Saccharomyces cerevisiae S288C: one gene and its partners. The main gene of each other region encodes a partner of the protein of the gene in region 2 in a complex. Each region holds a gene or a part of one and is shown on either strand. Other genes may lie near its edges. The genes, in order: NUP49, NUP100, NUP188 and SEH1.

What was found.
Region 1: NUP100 (region 2) and NUP49 share a complex: the UniProt entries of both Saccharomyces cerevisiae proteins name them as parts of the nuclear pore complex.
Region 3: NUP100 (region 2) and NUP188 share a complex: the UniProt entries of both Saccharomyces cerevisiae proteins name them as parts of the nuclear pore complex.
Region 4: NUP100 (region 2) and SEH1 share a complex: the UniProt entries of both Saccharomyces cerevisiae proteins name them as parts of the nuclear pore complex.

Annotation. Positions count from the first base shown.
Region 1 is NC_001139.9:179,193-182,676, forward strand, and holds NUP49 (FG-nucleoporin NUP49), read left to right. Parts: upstream 1-1,507; coding exon 1,508-2,926; downstream 2,927-3,484. Other genes in the region: chromatin-binding exonuclease XRN1, read right to left, coding at 1-921; RNA-dependent ATPase ROK1, read left to right, coding at 3,198-3,484. UniProt on the Saccharomyces cerevisiae protein: Functions as a component of the nuclear pore complex (NPC).
Region 2 is NC_001143.9:308,527-313,603, reverse strand, and holds NUP100 (FG-nucleoporin NUP100), read right to left. Parts: upstream 3,406-5,077; coding exon 526-3,405; downstream 1-525. Other genes in the region: YKL068W-A (uncharacterized protein), read right to left, coding at 4,162-4,398. UniProt on the Saccharomyces cerevisiae protein: Functions as a component of the nuclear pore complex (NPC).
Region 3 is NC_001145.3:62,064-69,293, forward strand, and holds NUP188 (Nup188p), read right to left. Parts: upstream 5,487-7,230; coding exon 519-5,486; downstream 1-518. Other genes in the region: MDM1 (Mdm1p), read right to left, coding at 1-259; CAC2 (Cac2p), read left to right, coding at 6,231-7,230. UniProt on the Saccharomyces cerevisiae protein: Functions as a component of the nuclear pore complex (NPC).
Region 4 is NC_001139.9:311,481-314,840, forward strand, and holds SEH1 (Seh1p), read left to right. Parts: upstream 1-1,753; coding exon 1,754-2,803; downstream 2,804-3,360. Other genes in the region: 60S ribosomal protein uL15 RPL28, read left to right, coding at 47-447; YGK1 (5'-deoxynucleotidase), read left to right, coding at 713-1,360; ribosome biogenesis GTPase LSG1, read left to right, coding at 3,151-3,360. UniProt on the Saccharomyces cerevisiae protein: Functions as a component of the nuclear pore complex (NPC).

The DNA of each region.
Region 1 (3,484 bases), on a different chromosome or scaffold from region 2:
GGGAAATGCTCCTTTGTTAAGGTGCAAATCTGGCAAATTGGGCAAGAAATCATTACCAATGACGAACATGACAAGAATAAAATCATCCAAAATACGTTCAAAATTGTATTCAAATTGCATTTCATCGGCAATTTCTTTGAATTCCAACTCCATGTATTCTCTTAATAAAGAAAGATGTAATAAGTAGAAATTTTGATGTTCAAGCGATTTTTTTTCACTATTTCTTCTACCAAATGTCACTTCTTCTCTCAATAACGCAAAATGTGGCCCATGAGTAGACAAACCCAGCATAATCAAATCTGCGTCAAGACCGTAAATACAATGTCTCGTATTCTGGTTGAAATCCTTTTGGGATTTTAAATGCCTTATAAAGTTCATGATCTTGTGTTCACCTTCACCTGGAACTTCATGGCCAGAAAATATGATTTGCACTTCCCTCCATTTGGAATCGTTAGAAATCTTGTCGTGAATAAAATATTGTAAGTTTTTGGTCAATTTGGCCATAAACTCCGTACCTGGAGTAATAGAATTCGAATCAAATGGCTCACCCTTAGGAATCTCGTCACCATTCTCAATAGCCTTCTTCAAGGCTTTTTCTGCATCCATAGCGGTTCTGAATCTACGAGCTCTTTGTTGATTCATCTTGGCACGAGGGGCCACACCATCAATAGCCATGTAGAAAATCTTCTTGGGCTTGATTGTTTGAAAAAGGTGATCGATATACGTACAGATTTTTGCAAAAACCTCTTCTTCAGTTAATCGCTTGGTTACATCATCGTCGTTACCATGCGTACAATTATGTAAAATCGAATTCATATCCAGGTATAAGTTATCAAACTCAGGAATCTGTGTTCCCTCAATAAGCTGTAAAATCATGGGCCATCTTTCTGAGATGTACCTGAAAAATTTTGGAATACCCATACCGTACTGATATATATTTGTTGCTGCTGTTGTTACAAGTGTTGATTTTTTTTCTCCTTATAGTACACGAATCGTCCTAGGATTAGTCAATTGCTTATTGTGAACCCGATTATAAGTACGGAAGAAGACAGTATCCTTTAGAAAATAAACTATTAACAGGAACGGAAATAAAAGGCAGAGAGAAAATAATAAAAGAATCGGTTCGCTTGTGCGAACGCCAAACAGATTTTATAATAACGGAAGAGCTGCTGAAAAAAAAAGCAAGCTGCAACTGTTATATTTGCGTAGATAAACTTTACAACCGGTAATTGGAAGTCGTAAGTACTTAGTTTGACGTTTTCAGTACTCGTTAAACTACTCCTTAAATTGCTTTCTAACCTCTTCTTGTTTGTCTCTGTTGTTACTTGCTCTGCGGTGGCGAAAAGACGAGCAAAGGAGGTTGTATATATCACTCAACACGGAATGTATTACAGCTTTCTCAAATAAATGTAGTTGAAAAAGACCATTAATCGTGAGAATAGTTACTGATCAGGTGATGAGACGATAAAAACAGTAATTGAGAGGGTTTTCACGGGTAGTGGGCACAATGTTTGGATTAAATAAAGCATCTTCGACACCTGCAGGTGGGCTCTTTGGTCAGGCCAGCGGAGCTAGCACTGGAAACGCGAATACTGGGTTTTCGTTTGGTGGGACTCAAACTGGACAAAACACCGGCCCAAGTACAGGTGGACTATTTGGCGCTAAACCAGCCGGATCTACAGGAGGATTAGGTGCATCATTTGGTCAGCAGCAACAACAATCTCAGACAAATGCATTTGGAGGAAGCGCCACCACCGGAGGGGGCCTTTTCGGTAACAAACCTAACAATACGGCGAACACTGGGGGCGGGTTATTTGGCGCTAATTCGAACAGTAATTCTGGCAGTTTGTTTGGTTCCAACAATGCACAGACGAGTCGTGGTTTGTTTGGTAATAATAACACTAATAATATCAATAATAGTAGTAGTGGCATGAATAATGCAAGCGCTGGACTATTTGGCTCTAAACCTGCAGGAGGCACTTCTTTGTTCGGTAATACAAGCACCTCTTCGGCCCCTGCGCAGAACCAGGGCATGTTTGGTGCAAAACCAGCTGGTACATCTCTATTCGGCAATAATGCAGGTAATACGACCACTGGTGGAGGGTTATTTGGCTCCAAACCGACAGGAGCAACGTCTTTGTTTGGTTCATCAAATAACAACAACAATAACAATAATAGTAACAACATCATGAGTGCGTCAGGCGGGCTATTTGGTAATCAGCAGCAGCAACTGCAGCAACAACCACAAATGCAGTGCGCATTGCAAAATCTATCTCAGCTCCCTATTACCCCAATGACACGGATTTCCGAATTACCACCTCAAATACGTCAAGAAATTGAACAACTAGATCAATATATTCAAAAACAAGTGCAGATCTCGCACCATTTGAAGGCCGATACAATCGATCATGATGAATTGATAGATTCCATTCCTCGTGATGTTGCATACCTACTGAAGTCAGAATCTGCAACAAGTCAATATTTAAAGCAAGATTTGAAGAAAATATCCTCATTTAAATCGCTAATCGATGAGGACCTTCTAGACACGCAAACTTTTTCGGTGCTCTTACAGCAACTATTAACTCCGGGAAGCAAAATTTCTTCTAATGACTTAGACAAATTCTTTCAAAAGAAAATTCATCTCTACGAGAAGAAGTTAGAGGATTACTGCCGTATTCTCTCTGATATAGAAACTGCGGTAAATGGCATTGATACAGATTTATTTGGCGCCCCAAATAACCCTAATTCTACAGCTATCACAGCAGATCTAGGTTCATCCGAAGCAGAGAACCTACTGCAGTTGAAGACAGGCTTAGCTGCCATAGTCTCTACTGTCATTGAGGAATTCACACTGTTTATGGATATCGCTGAGAGAATCGCCGTGTTACATCAAAAAACGAAAACACTGGCATCATTGAGCATATGAGTAAATCGCCCTGAAAGTTTATATAGTGCGTATAACAAGTACAAATGTCTTGTACAAATGTAATTTATACTAAATGCAATAGAATATAACATCAATCACAGTTTTTCAGTCACCATAATGGCGTCTTAGAGGCCGAACTAACTTTTCTTCGTGAAAAATTTTTTGCGATGAGATGGGAAGGAAAAAAAGTAATATTGACATCTTCAATTGAGAGATATTACCTGCAAAAAGGTACATACGATAGTAGAAGTTATCGAACAGGCAAGCCACCATGGATATTTTTAGAGTATTAACTAGAGGAGCTTCCGTGAAGAAAGAGTCAGGCCCAAAGGCTAAGGCAGCAGATTACAGCGTTATAAATGGAAATGATGAGAATCATAAGGAAGATAATAATGAAAGCCAGATCGTGAAAGAACTTGATTTCTTTCGAAACAAGAGAATCATTAGCAAGGTAGAGGATGATAGAGAGAAGACAACCGAAAACGATTCTCCAAACAAAGAGGAGAAGAGCGGCAATGATGATGGTCTGATAAAACCAGTGATTACCAATACCGTTGA
Region 2 (5,077 bases):
CCCCTTTATCAGTTCTACGTTGTAATGCTTCTTTACAGTCACCACTTGTAGGTTTAACATAAAAAAGCAAAGAGTACATAATATTTATTCAACCAGATGTGCAGATGTAACCAAAAACTTCACAGTTGTTTGCCATCTTAGTATAGTGGTTAGTACACATCGTTGTGGCCGATGAAACCCTGGTTCGATTCTAGGAGATGGCATTTTATTTTTTTCCTTTAGCCTTCATGGTCTGTCCGTTTTTATTTCATGAGACAACCTTTCTGCATCTGGCGATGCCACCAACCTTCATTGAAAAGAGGTCAATGTTCTTCTACAAAGGTTATAGAACCTCTTCATTTTTGTCTCCTCAAAATCCCATTCAAATGTGCCATGGCTGTTGATCAGGCATTTTCGGTCACACAATTACAATTAAGTATTTTTGTTTTCCGACAATTATTATATATACAATACAACGAAAATCTATCAGCTGAACATCTAGACTACTTAGACGATACAAGGATTCTCTACAAAAATTATTCCGGTTTAAGTTAAAACTGGGTGATCTATGGTGTAACTATAGGTGCCTGTTACGGGGTCATAGCTTTCAAACTTGTACACTGGGTTTTCTTTTAGTTTGGCTATACTTCTTTTCAGTAGAGGATGTGTTATATTCTTTATAGGTTTCCTTGTTTCTTTGTCAATAGGAAAACAGGAATATAAAGTCACTCTACAACGTACATTAATGCCTTCGCCCTTTTCTGGCTTTATGGAACAGTTTTCATATATTGAACATGATTTTGGTCCAAAGGTGACAAGATCCCCGCATAAAGTATCCAAAGGAGTATTCAACAAATCAACGGGCTCCAGAAACTCGACTTTACCATAATTTCTGTGACCAATGACTAGGTTGTTTATTTTACGAAGTTCAATTAATGACTTATTGCCAAGCGTTTCTATGGAAGGTGAAATGTAGTAGTTATTCTTGAAAAAGGTAACGTCGTTGCTCAATAGGCCGGGAACTTTGCTGCTAATCTTTTCATTCTCAATCATTGGTATAGAGGTGGAACCATTTGGAGATTTCGATTGAGGATCAGGAGTGCTTTCATCATGATCATCTTTTAGGTCAGTCTGAGGAGAATGTGCTTTTTCAGTTAATTTTGAAGCAGCAATGCTTGATGAGGCTTGGTCATCTTTTGAAGCTGATTCTGTTGTAAACGTCACTAATTTAACTTTGCTTGCTTCATCATCATTATGGTTAATGACATTTAAGTTCTTATTATTTTTAATCACCAGATGTTTCAAATATCTTCTATCTGGATCAAACAACAAGTCGTTTGAATTTAGATAGCTTGATTCTGGGTCCGTAATAGAATTGCTGGTACTGCTTCCTCTATCACTTCTTTCCAGTGTCTTGCCCCACTTTTGAAATTTAGCATCGCCATTCGAAGAGGGAGCAAATAACGGCTTTGGGGCAAGTCTATAGGCAGACGTGAGGCTACTATTTCTTTTCATATCTGCGTTCACTTTTGAAGTTGTTGCTTTAACTGGATTTGTAATAGAGTTAGGGATTGATATTTTGGAAAAAAGCTGTTCATTAGTTACTGGGGCTTGTTGTAGGGAAGGAACTGCCGTTGTACCCAAAAGGGCGTTTTGGGTGGTATTGTTCACAGGTGGTACATTTTGTGTACCAACATTAAGCGTATTATTATTCTGGCCAAAAAGTTTACCAGTTGAACCAACTGCTGAAGAGTTCGTGCCGGTGGCGCCAAAGAGTCCTGTATTTTGGGTTGTGCCTCCAAAAACTGGTTTGTTTTGGCCGATTGTGGAAGAATTCGAGTTTGAATTGCCGAATAACCCTCCCCCTAATGCAGGTTTGGACTGAGAATCAGGCTTTGCACCGAAAAGTCCCGTATTCGTAGTGCTAGTTGAATTGTTAGCGTTGTTACCAAACAATCCATTCGTGGAAGGTACTGTCGTAGAAGCTGTGTTGTTTCCAAATAATGAGCCGGTAGTGGAGGCAGGTTTAGTTCCGAATAGACTGTTTCCACTCCCTGACTGGTTTGCAGTGGGATTTCCTCCAAAGGGCATGTTGGTCAGCTTCGTGGCACCAAAAAGACTATTTCCTTGTTGTGACTGTGTATTAGAGGTAGGTACATTGGTAGTACCGAAAAGAGAGTTAGGCTGGGTTGATGAATTACCACCGAAAAGAGATCCTGTGGTACCTGCTGGTTTGGCTCCAAACAAACCTGTAGATTGTTGTTGCTGGTTGTTGTTCTGTCCAAAGAGACCTATTCCTGTATTAGATTGGGTAAAAGTATTGGGCTGTTTCTGATTATTCTGCCCAAAAAGTCCACTACTACCGCTTGTCTGAGAATTTTGACCAAACAGCCCGGACCCTTGCTGTTGATTATTTTGGCCAAATAAACCTCCTGATGCGGAATTTGAAAAGGTGTTTGCCTTTCCAAATAAACTGTTGTTGTTATTGCCATTAATTTGCATTTGATTATTGTTTTGTCCAAATACCCCTTGAGTGCTGCTGTTCATCGAGTTTTGTCCAAACAATCCACTGTTAGAACTGCCTTGGTTACTGGAATTCATTTGACCAAACAATCCATTTCTATTATTGGTTGTATTACCTAAAGTGTTGTTGCTCTGGCCAAACAGCGACCCTGAACCAACTGGTTTTGATCCGAAGGAACTGCCCCCCAGCTGATTTTGATTACCAAACGCATTATTGGTGTTTTGAGATTGCTGTCCAAATAGACTTCCTTGTTGATTATTTGTCCCAAACGCTGAAGATTGTTGGTTGCCAAACAAGCTGCCGGTAGTATTGCTTTGTGAGTTGTTCCCTGCCCCAAATATGTTAGAGCCGTTGCCATTTAAGCCTGTTCCGAAACTACTTCCGGTGTTTCCGAATGTGCCAGTGGTACTTGTACTTTGGCCGCCAAATAAACTAGAAGTACCTGCACTATTATTATTCTGCGAACCAAACAAGGTCCCTCCTGTATTCGGTTTATTGAAACCAAACGGGGAATTGGTACTGTTACTGTTATTATTAAATGCATTATTGGTATTACCACCAAAAGAACCCATTGAACTGGATCCTCCAAAAGTGTTCCCATTACTGGCATTTGAGGAGTTTAACGACCCAAATGGTGAGTTTTGGGTGGCACCCATTGACTGGCCAAATGCCCCATTATTTTGAGTATTGTTATTTCCAAATAAACTGTTACTATTACTGCCAGCGGCAGAAGTGAATCCACCAAATCCTGATTGGGCATTGTTACTGGTGGAATTGTTGTTGTTATTGCTATTTCCAAAAAGAGAGTTTGGTTGTTGCGATTGTTGCCCACCGAAGGATGACGTATTTGATCCAAAGGAAAGGTTGCTCCCTCCAAACATTGGTCTATTGTTGCCAAACATTGTTAGTACCTGAAAAAATTCAATGTACTAATAGTCCGGAATCAAAGCTAAAATATTTTGGTTAACAAAGACTGTTCTACGATATGTTATTTTCTTCTCCTCTTCAGGTCCAAAAGCGGTGGTCATTTGTAGATGACTTCAGCATAAATATGCTTTTTTTTTTCATGCTTTTTTTCTTCGCTTACGGCAAATATTTAAGGTGTCACGGTGATTGCAAGATGGGTAACACTTTCCGTTCTAACTAAGCATCAGAACATAATACAATCTAATCTTTGTCTAATAATCGACCAAAGAAATTTCCTAATGCTAAATGTTTTACTTTGAGAACGTTCTTGGAGAAGTCTCATTCCGATGTGCGGTTAACCTCTACTCCTATCAGGATAATGCTGCCCTTACTTGCAATAAACAGGTAGAAAAATACTAAAATACTGCAAATGTTTTCCATTAAAAGTTATTCTACACAATAGCTATTAAATTTGTGGTAAAGAGGTGAAAAAAAAAAAAACCTCTATAGCTTAATAAACTAAAAATTCGTACTATGCATAAGTAATCAAAACATGCATCTACACAAAAAAAATTGAAAAATCTATAAAAACACCTTCCTAAAAAATGAATATCGCCAATATCTATAACAAAAAGTCTCACCGGTATACAAGGATTGTTCAGAACAGCTAGCCAAACTTTAACAACCTCCAGCATTGACAATTAAAAATGTGAAAATAAAACAGCTAAACGAAATTACCGCCAAAATTGGTCTCACAGTTTACCAAATTTTTCCGTCATAGCACTCATTTGAGTCCAATATTTTAACTTAACGGGAGTTAAAGATCCTGTGTTGAGGTCTACCATCAGGTCTTCATCTTCTATTTCTTCCTGAGTTTGACTTAAAGCTTTTTGAAAACTTCCTTGCTTTTGTGTTTGAGAAAAGAGCCCATTTGACCTCTTTGAAGTACTTGATTCGTAAAGGTAACTGACGGAATGGTTTGCCTGCATTGTAGTTGATGATATATAATGTCGTTGATTTATGAGTTACTAGATGGCTACCATTAAGTCTCACTTGAAAATTCGCGGGAGCTGAGAGATGCAAGCATGTAACATTAGGTTCTGTAGTTATATATGATTGTTTCTTCCATTGCCTACATCAGAATCGAACTGTTCTAGGGCCTCACAGTCGAAACAAAAGTTTAGCGTTGTTTCGAGAAATGGCCGCACGAATGGCGATAGATGTCGAAATGCCACACTTTTAATTTTCTCGTTGCGTTTTTTTTTCTTTTTTGCCCTTAGCAGAGGGCAAAAAAGTGACAGAGGAGCCACAACTGCGGCCCGCGTGAACAAAAAACCCCATGATCTTTCTCAATTTTTTATTCGCATGCGACTCCTACATACACGGGACCTGCAAGGTGGTGCGGTGCAGCCACACGGAAGACTATTGTATACATATGTGATTGAAAATGCTTCTTTCCTTGAAAAGAAATAAAGGGATGCTACCTCTTCCTGTGGCACACCTTTCCTTGGACTTTGTATTGAGTAAGGATCCAGACACCTTTAGTGGCGAGCTTGATAATCCAGGTAACACAATATCGCCAATGATTTTTATCAAGTAAGACTATCGCATCCAGAAGATTATTAGTTTAATGTTGTTCGATAAGGCCTATTTTTAGGCTCTTTTTTC
Region 3 (7,230 bases), on a different chromosome or scaffold from region 2:
GCGCGTTCCCATCTTGTATTAAACCCTCGACAGACTTCAATTCTTTATCAACATCCACAGTATTCGAACTTTCCGGTACGATATCAACAAATCTTGGCTGAGGTTTCGGTAAATCAGGCAAGGATTTGAAGAATACGAAGTACGCAAAGATGCAGACATTAAGAAAGAACCCCAGCGAAAAAGTGATTACCGACCATTGTATCATTGATATTAAGTAAAACAAAACTAAAATCAATCGAAACTGTGGAAACTTAGGCATACGATATCATATCAGAAGGCACAAACACGCGCACTTATGGCGCTTTCAAAGCATGAGAGTCTTCGGTTAATTTACTTATCTTATTGTTTACATATTTTTGAAGTTCGTAAGGCGATGAAAAAAAAAAGTACACAATGGATAGAACTGGGATGGAAAAAGCTCATACAGTCGCAGTCCGCAGTATAGCAACAAAGGGCCACCCTTGCACTTGCACTGTTCATTATTATATTATGTAGCTTTACATAACCTGCAAAATAAGTTAAACGTCCTTAAATAGTGAATCTTGTAATGCTTTAATGTCTCTGCTGATACCCTTGACGAACTCCAATCTGCTTGATTCATCCTCCAACTGCTGTTGCTCTTCTAAAGTTGTAGGTATTATTCTTGAATTCAAGTATTTTGGATGTGTTAGAAACTTGCTTAATGCAGCGCTTAACCTTTTTTTATCATGTTCAGAATCTAGACCAATAACCAATTCTACAGCTTCTTGTTGATCATCAGAGTTTTTAGGCTGAATAAACAATTCTTGGTAATTTAGCAAGTTTAGCATTTTTTGCAATAAAACCAATTGATTCGTTTCCTTTATCAACGAACTTGACACTGCTAACTTGTTGTCACCCCAGTTATATATTGTAGATTTTATTTGTTTTCCAAAATATGAAACAAATAGGCACGTCTCAGGTAAAACCTTGATACCGAACTGACTTAATAGTAGTAGAACAATGGATAACAAACCATTGCTCCAAATGTTGTGCAATCTAGGCGAAAATTCAGGTTTTATATCACCTTGCTGTATTGCAACAGATAGTGGACTTTCCAATAGAACGCTATACAATCCACTGTTGATGAGTTTTGCAGCAATTGGCTCAATAGAACACAATTCGGAGATAAAGGTCAGAGTAATTTGCCCAAGAATTGGTTCATCGTTAATCCTTATCAAATGCGCGCTTGAATATAGGTTCAGTATAACTTTCAAAGTTCCTACTTCGTTTAGGGATGATGCTAGAATAACATTGAAGTTTTTAGAGGGATTCACATTGGTGATCTTCTTGAAGAGTGATAATAATAACAATAAATCCTGAGTATTATCCTCCAAGTTGACAATTTGGGTGGTGTGATCGGTGCTTAAACCCCTCGTGGAGCATTTATTGATCTGACATAATATCTCAGACAGTATCAAATAAACACCCTTACTAAACACTAATTCAAAAAATTCCAGTAGTTGATCAGATATTAATTCGATAAAACGATCTCCTGACGAGACTAACTCGAGAAGAACTAAGACAGATCTCAAAAGAGGTCTATAAAAGTTATTTTTTAGTGACTTACCAATATTTTTAATAAAGTCAATCTCACCAGATTTGAAAATTGTAAAAATCTTGTTCATCAATTCAATTATCTTTTCTTCCTTCAACAATTTTCCCGACAACTTGAACGAATATAAAATGTAAAACGACAACTCAATTCTTTCCAGATATATTTGGGTAAACATTTGTTTATCTGAACCAAAATCAATATTTAACTTGAGGAAATGCTCTACCAAGTCGACAAAACCATCATTTAACGGAACAGTGCTCCTCTTCACAAACGTGGTGATTAGTGCGCCCCATGCTTTTGCGGTAGATATTTCGTAATTGACATACTGCAAATTTAATGAAGCGTCTGTTATTTCCTCCTTAAAATTTGTCTGACTCTTACTTGGTTCGTTCCAACTACGGTCAGCTTTTAAAACTATATCTAATAACGGAATATCATAACCGAAATTCTCATTTTCGTTTATTCTGGATAATGGAATTTTTTGGAACGACTGAAGCTCTAAACTGGGCCATTTCTCTTTAAATTTTAAGTTTAATTCATCATGAAAAGTTTTATTGAACCCATCAATTTGGAAGAAATGATGAACTAATTCAAACAAGTCTTCCTGATTCAAAAAATTTAAAATTTCCGAGTTTGAATCAGTGGAGTTGTAAATACACAACGCAAATATTTCTACAATCCTTGAGATCAATTTGTATTTCTTAATCAAAGAAACAGTTTCGTCACGAGTCAAATTTTCCTTTTTCTGAAATAATTTTTTTGAGTCCTTCAACTTAGCCAATAAGGAATTCACAAATTTAGGATCTTTTATGAATATTTTAGAATTTGTCCAAGTGTTTAAAACATATGTTATCGTTTCTAATAACTTGCAACTTACTTCTTCAGGCGTTGAATCTAATAGTAAAGAATTCTTTTGCAAAACAGTTAATATAGAACTCTTTTTGTCTATGGAGGATTCGTCATTAATTTTTTTATTGGAGGCAAATTGACCTGTTAAGAAGAGGATAGATAACCCATCTTGTTTACTTTCTAATAGGGTAGTAAAAAAAATGTACAAACTTCGGAGAAGGTTCCAATCTTGCACTGGAGAGCTCAGGTCCGACAGGACTTCTTTCAAAAATGCCATTGACTTTGCTTCACCAAGGAAAGATAACAGAAATGGATAGTCGTCATTCCAAGGAGCCTCTACTAAATAGCTTAACAACTCTATGATCTGCACTTTGAAATGAACATAACTTGGTAGGGTATAAACGTCAACCAATTTTGATGAATTTATGAAAAGCAATTTTTCCAGGTTGCTTGGCTTTAAATCACGATTGCTACCTCGAATAGCGATCAAAAGCGTGCACAGCTTGAAGGAGTTATTCATTACCTTGCTATATAAATTACCCAAAATTTTGTCGCCTAAAATTTTTGTTGTGGTATTCAATGGTGAAATCAGAATATTCGTCAAAGTATTTGGAGCCAAATCAATGGAATCCATGGGAGTCAAAAATAACTGCAACAATTTGTTTGCTGACGAGGAAATGATTAACTGATCCTTTTGATGTGGATTTATGGTGAAAACGTCATGAAGTACATCATAAAAAATTAATGTCAAATGGAAGGCAATTTCGAATTTTTGTAAGAAGTTGTTGTACTTCCAGTTGTAATAACTCTCAAAGATATGAATTGCATGTAGAATCAACTTATTAATAATATCAATTTTACTTCTCTTGGAAATATGGATATTTTTCAATGAGAGAGATTCTCGAATAAAGACTTTTGTTAGCTTAAGCAATTGGATAGTGAATGTGTAATCCCCCGTAGATAATTCAACCGAACCGAGTATCATATTGGAAAGACCAGTCTTACCATATTTGTCTAACAAATCCGATTTGTTCAAGTAAGAAGAAACAAGATGAAGGTAATTCGGTGTCAGCATAGTCATAAATTCACAACATTGTACAATTGAGGTATAATCTTTTCTTTGTAGTGATATTTCAAAAATCTCGAAAATTACTTGGATAATCGACGCTCCATTTATGGTGCTGGCTGAAGTATCCAGAGAATTTGATAAATATGACAGAATTTCACTAGATTTCTCGATCGAGGTTTTCGGATCGACAACGTTAGTGACTAACTTTATTATGGATATCATCAATTCATGTTGTAAGTCATCCAGTTGTGTACCCTTTTCCATATATGAATGTAATAGATTTTGCAATATTCTACCCACCAAAGACCAACCATTGAATTTGTAAAGGAAAATAATCAAATTGGAAGTAGTTGGCGGCTGTTGTCCATTCTGTTGTTGTTGTTGTTGTTGTTGTTGTTTGATAGTAAGAATTTTTCCCTTTGTTGATTTTGGTATTGACAAGAGACAATTAGAGTTTTCGTTTTCTAAGGGTGGCGCCACTAGTAAATCAGACTTCAACTCTATCAAATCAGGCACTATAATATCGGAGGATGAAGAAGAGTTTGTTATTGTATCAGCAATTAAGTCATAATCCAAATCGTTCAAACTACTTTTGGTAACAGCAAATGAACATATATCTTTTAATTCAAAATTGGCAAACTCGGTATCAATTAAGGCTAAATTAATTAGCGGGATCAGTGATTCGTTCAATAGGGGCAATTTAGCCTTTATGATGCTCAATTTTTTCTCAAAAGTGTCATTAGTTAAGAAATTCTCAATGAACTGCTCTGGTGCCTTTGAAATTATCTTGGCGAAAACCCGGGAAGTAGATGCAGTTATAGGAATAAAATTTAAAGAAAACTCCAAAAATACTGTTATTACTGTGGTGTAAACAGGATCAAAGGATAGAATTTCTGAGAGAGTATTCAATTTTTGAAGAACATCATGTGATTCAGCAAACAGAGCAAATTTCGTTATGTCTGAATCATCAAATGATTCCGACGATTGTAATGCTCGCCTATAATAAAGTATAAATGACCAGGAGTAATGAATCATTGGATGGAAAATGGGGTCCTCGTTGACGATATTGGTTGCTACATCATTCTCTAGAGCGCTATTGACGGTGTCGAAAGTTTCTGTATCCATGTACAAAGGTGACTGAATATCAAATTGCGCGATTGAAGTGTTCAGTCCAAGTATCAATATAGTTGTGATAGTAAATAAAGATGAAATCCTGGAAATAAGCGTTTCTGAGAGGTAACTGAGGTCTTGGAAATTCTGAAACTTGTACAATTGTAGTGACGAGGTATCTATACTCTTGTCTGTTGAATTTATATTTCTGCAAAATTCAACAAATTGATTTTGATACTGTAGAAACCATTGATTGACGATATCTACTGGTACTTTTGTGTTGAGGATCATTAAATTCAAAATTTGTAATATCTGCAAGATAAACTTCAAATCAGAAAATTTTTTTAACTGCACCAATGAGACAATTGTGAACATGTCTTGATCGTTATTATAATCATGTGCTAAAGATGAAGCTGTAATAATGTCGTAGTTCTGGATTACAGATGATATTATAGAAATCAATTTCCCCACTACATTGAATCTATCGTTGTCAATAAATGAATATGTCTCGAGGTCGATGTCAGGGTTAACGAGAAGTGAGTATACTATATGAAGTCTAGATGATCTCTCAGACATAAAGAATTCTACAGCATGAGAAAGGTCCTCAGATTGAGCAAAGAATGGATCATTATCGACGTTTATTTGCAATAAGTTTGCAATTGTAGAGCGTAACTTGTTATGATCGCCGGAAGAAGTTACATTCTGCCTTATTGTGTTCAGACTCTCGATAAGATTTGTCTTGTTAGCTTTCAAAAACTGTCTTATTTGGGCCAATTGCTTGGCATCCACAGCGGATACATCAGCAGCAGCATCGTTCATAAAATTAGCAACATGAGTGAAGGTCAATTGTGGAGAGGAATTGCCAAATGAAGGTGTAGCCATGGCTGATGGGGTCCTTTTTTTAGCGGTGGAAAGGGTTATCTCTTTATTTGTGTTTCTGTTCGAATATTAAAGATGTCTCAAAGTATTCATTTCAAGAAGAAAATTTTTGGTATTACAAAATATTCTTACCCGGAATATATACATATATACCTTAACTACAAGCAGGAGCCGGCTTTCTGGCAAGGAGGGAGAAGACATAGATTGTTTGCGTATATATGTGGGAATAGCGTCCAAGCACGCCCGTGGCTGAGGGAGCACCACGATCGTTCGGTGTACTTGACACCTCTATATGGTATGTTCTTCCCTGATATTGATATCAGCACAATTACGGCTCTAAGAAACGATGAATATAAAAAACGTTAATTAGGAATTTGACATATGTGCTAGTATTCGGGCCCCTGAGCAAGTTTGTGCGCACGACGCCTGTCCGTTGCTGCACATGCTTGCGTGGGGCCTTTTTGTCGTGTTTTTATTTAGGGACTGTTATCGAAGGAATAGATTTCTGTGGTGAAAAGTAGAAAACTACTAGCTTTTATAGACGGTGGGGGAGAAAAAGGAAAATTAGAATTGAAAAAAATTTGAAAAAATATGAAAATGTGAAAAGGACGCCTTATTTCCTTGGGTTGCCCGGCGAACACGTTAGTTAACTCGCTGTCTAACTGATGGGCTATTATTATAGCGTTATAGTACGTATCAGAATTTAAAAGAAGGAGGCAGAAAAGCTTAGAGCAAAGGGGCAGGACAATGGAAGCTTCACATTTGCAAATCTACTGGCATGATTCACAACCCGTTTACTCGCTCACATTCCAAAAGAACAGTGCGAACGACAAGCTTTTCACCGCTGGTGGTGATAACAAGGTTAGGATATGGAAGTTGAACAGAGATGAAAACGGACAAAATGGGGGGGTGCGTAAGATTGAAAGCCTTGACTTTCTTGGCTCGCTGACGCATCACGAACAGGCCATAAATGTAATCCGATTCAACTCGAAGGGTGACGTACTGGCGTCTGCGGGCGATGACGGCCAAGTGCTGCTATGGAAGCAAGAAGATCCAAATACACAGCAAGAATCTGTGGTCAGACCATTCGGAATGGATGCGGAGACTAGTGAAGCAGACGAGAACAAGGAGAAATGGGTTGTGTGGAAACGGCTGCGTGGTGGTAGCGGTGCTACTGCGGCGGCAGAGATTTACGATCTAGCGTGGTCACCTGATAACAGGAACATAGTGGTGGCATGTATGGACAATTCGATACGACTGTTCGATGTTGGAGCTGGGATGCTGGTATGCGGCCAGTCGGATCATGGTCACTACGTCCAAGGTGTTGCATGGGACCCATTAAATCAGTTTATTCTCTCACAGTCTGCGGACCGGTCTCTGCATGTATATGGAGTCATTCTTTCATCTGCAGGAGTGGTTACAGGGCTGAAACTTAGAAGTAAGATTGCCAAGGCAGAACTGCCTTGTCCAGGTGATGTCCTGAGGACAAATTACCTTTTTCACAACGAGACGCTACCTTCATTCTTTAGGCGATGCAGCATATCGCCTTGTGGTGGTTTGGTCGTAATTCCCAGTGGTGTGTATAAGGTGGCTGGTGATGAAGTCGCGAACTGCGTATACGTGTATACTAGATCTGGAATACTGAACAGCGCTGGTGGCGTTAAAAACCGGCCTGCGATTAGAATCCCATCTTTGAAGAAACCAGCGCTGATGGCGGCTTTCTCGCCCGTATTTTACGAAACGTGCC
Region 4 (3,360 bases), on a different chromosome or scaffold from region 2:
TAACGATTTAAAAATTGTATTTCATTACAATATTTTTTTTGTACAGCCGGTAAAGGTCGTATCGGTAAGCACAGAAAGCACCCCGGTGGTAGAGGTATGGCCGGTGGTCAACATCACCACAGAATTAACATGGATAAATACCATCCAGGTTATTTCGGTAAGGTTGGTATGAGATACTTCCACAAGCAACAAGCTCATTTCTGGAAGCCAGTCTTGAACTTGGACAAATTGTGGACATTGATCCCAGAAGACAAGAGAGACCAATACTTGAAATCTGCTTCTAAGGAAACTGCTCCAGTTATTGACACTTTGGCAGCCGGTTACGGTAAGATCTTGGGTAAGGGTAGAATTCCAAATGTTCCAGTTATCGTCAAAGCTAGATTCGTCTCCAAGTTGGCTGAAGAAAAAATCAGAGCTGCTGGTGGTGTTGTTGAATTGATCGCTTAAGCGCATCAACAAAAACTCTATGTATTTTCCAATAAATTATATATCTTCAGTTTAATCTAATTCAACATCTACTTCTGTATTATTTCTATCACCCATTTTCACCGTTTTTTCGTCTTGTCTATTTTGAAGTTACCAGTGGCAGATCCCAACGCTTTTATCGCTTTTTTAAAAGATTTTCAAAATCCATATATAAACATAGGGTCCAAAAAGAAAACAAATAACAAAACAAGAAAACCTATTCGAGGTAAAGACCAGGAAAAACAAAATGACTGCAGTTAACATCTGGAAGCCAGAAGATAATATACCTAGGGAGATTTTGGCAATTCTTTCGAAACCTCACCCAAATTATCAGTTAGCGTTTTTGAATATTATACAACTTTTGAAAACGCAAAGAAGAACTGGTTGGGTTGACCATGGTATTGACCCATGCGAAAGTATATCTGACCATATGTACAGAATGGGTTTAACTACCATGCTGATTACGGACAAGAATGTTGATCGTAACAAATGTATCAGAATCGCACTTGTTCACGATTTTGCGGAGTCATTAGTTGGTGATATTACACCTAATGACCCAATGACAAAGGAAGAGAAACATCGCAGAGAATTTGAAACTGTCAAGTATCTCTGTGAAAGCATAATAAGGCCCTGCAGTGAAAGCGCATCTAGGGAAATTCTTGATGACTGGTTAGCATACGAAAAGCAGACCTGTTTGGAAGGAAGATATGTCAAAGATATTGATAAGTATGAAATGTTGGTTCAATGTTTTGAGTACGAACAAAAGTATAATGGCAAGAAGGATTTGAAACAATTTTTGGGAGCCATCAATGATATAAAAACTGATGAAGTTAAAAAATGGACACAATCTTTACTGGAAGATCGACAAGCCTTTTTCGACAGTTTGAAGGAGTAATAATGTGGCCTTTTGAAAGAAAAGTTAGTGCTTTTTTTTCTTTTCTCAAACCTTCACCTGGTGGTGCGTATCATTTATAATAACATCTTGATGCTTTTCAACGAGATAGTGCCCATTTTATTTTGCATGTATTATACTTCCAGCACCCGGTGTGCATTATATGTAACTTTAGAAATAATCTTTTGTATATTATTCGCGATTGAATGTGCGTGCTGCATTATCAACCAAGTTTTAATATATCTGTTTCTCTTATTTATTGTTAGTTAAGTCTTCGGCAAAACGATGGAAAAAATCATGAACTGAATAGAGACAAGTAAACCAAATTATAAACAAGGTTTCCCTTCTGAAGAGATACTAAGGAAGAAGAAGAACGACCCAATAATATTTCTGAATATGCAACCATTTGATAGTGGGCATGATGATTTAGTTCATGATGTCGTTTATGACTTTTACGGAAGACATGTGGCAACATGCTCTTCTGATCAACATATTAAAGTTTTTAAATTAGACAAGGACACGAGTAATTGGGAACTCAGTGACTCATGGAGAGCTCACGACAGTAGTATCGTGGCCATTGATTGGGCCAGTCCAGAATATGGGCGCATCATTGCTTCAGCCTCTTACGATAAGACGGTAAAATTATGGGAAGAAGATCCCGACCAAGAAGAATGCTCTGGCCGTCGTTGGAACAAGCTGTGTACCCTGAATGATTCCAAAGGATCACTTTATAGTGTAAAATTTGCGCCAGCGCATTTGGGCTTAAAATTAGCTTGTTTGGGTAACGATGGAATCCTCAGACTTTATGATGCCTTAGAACCTTCTGACCTAAGGTCATGGACACTGACTTCTGAGATGAAAGTGCTATCTATACCACCAGCAAATCATTTACAGTCTGATTTTTGTCTCTCTTGGTGTCCTTCGAGATTTTCTCCTGAAAAGCTCGCAGTCTCTGCATTGGAACAAGCGATTATATACCAAAGGGGTAAAGACGGTAAACTTCACGTTGCAGCAAAACTTCCCGGTCATAAAAGTTTAATAAGAAGTATCAGCTGGGCTCCTTCCATTGGTAGATGGTATCAACTCATTGCAACAGGTTGCAAAGATGGTAGAATTAGAATTTTCAAAATCACAGAAAAACTAAGTCCCCTGGCCTCAGAGGAGTCTTTAACTAACTCAAATATGTTTGATAATAGTGCTGATGTTGACATGGATGCACAGGGCAGATCAGACTCAAATACCGAAGAGAAAGCTGAGCTACAATCAAACTTGCAAGTTGAACTTCTAAGCGAGCATGATGACCATAATGGCGAAGTTTGGTCCGTGTCTTGGAATTTAACGGGTACAATCTTAAGCAGTGCTGGGGATGATGGGAAGGTACGTTTATGGAAAGCCACTTATTCAAATGAATTTAAGTGTATGTCAGTAATTACTGCCCAACAATAAATAAGAATATATGTATACATAACATTATATATTGGTACTTTATACGTGTGCATTATTCTGTATAATACGAGGCAACAGATGAATCAAGAAAGATGATGCTTTTAAAAAGCTCTTACAAATATAATGATATTACATCAAATGATATTATTATTCTTGATATTGGGTATTCTTTCGAATTATATCAAGCTTCCCTTCCCTCGCCTTTTCGCCTGGAAATTTTTCAATGCCGAGATTAAAAAATTTGTCAATGAAAATGCATTCTACTACTTAATAAAGAGGTGATGAGCTTATAAGCCAACTTCTTTTAAACACAAAACTAAATCTGATATTGAGGACCCCCACCAACTATGCCACCAAAAGAAGCTCCCAAGAAATGGAAGGCGCCAAAAGGGCCAAAACCTACCCACCGTAAAAATAAAAATAAGCTTGAATTAGGCAGAGCTATTAAATATGCACGTCAAAAAGAAAATGCCATCGAGTATTTACCTGATGGTGAAATGAGGTTCACTACCGATAAGCATGAGGCCAACTGGGTTAAATTAAGATCTGTAACTCAA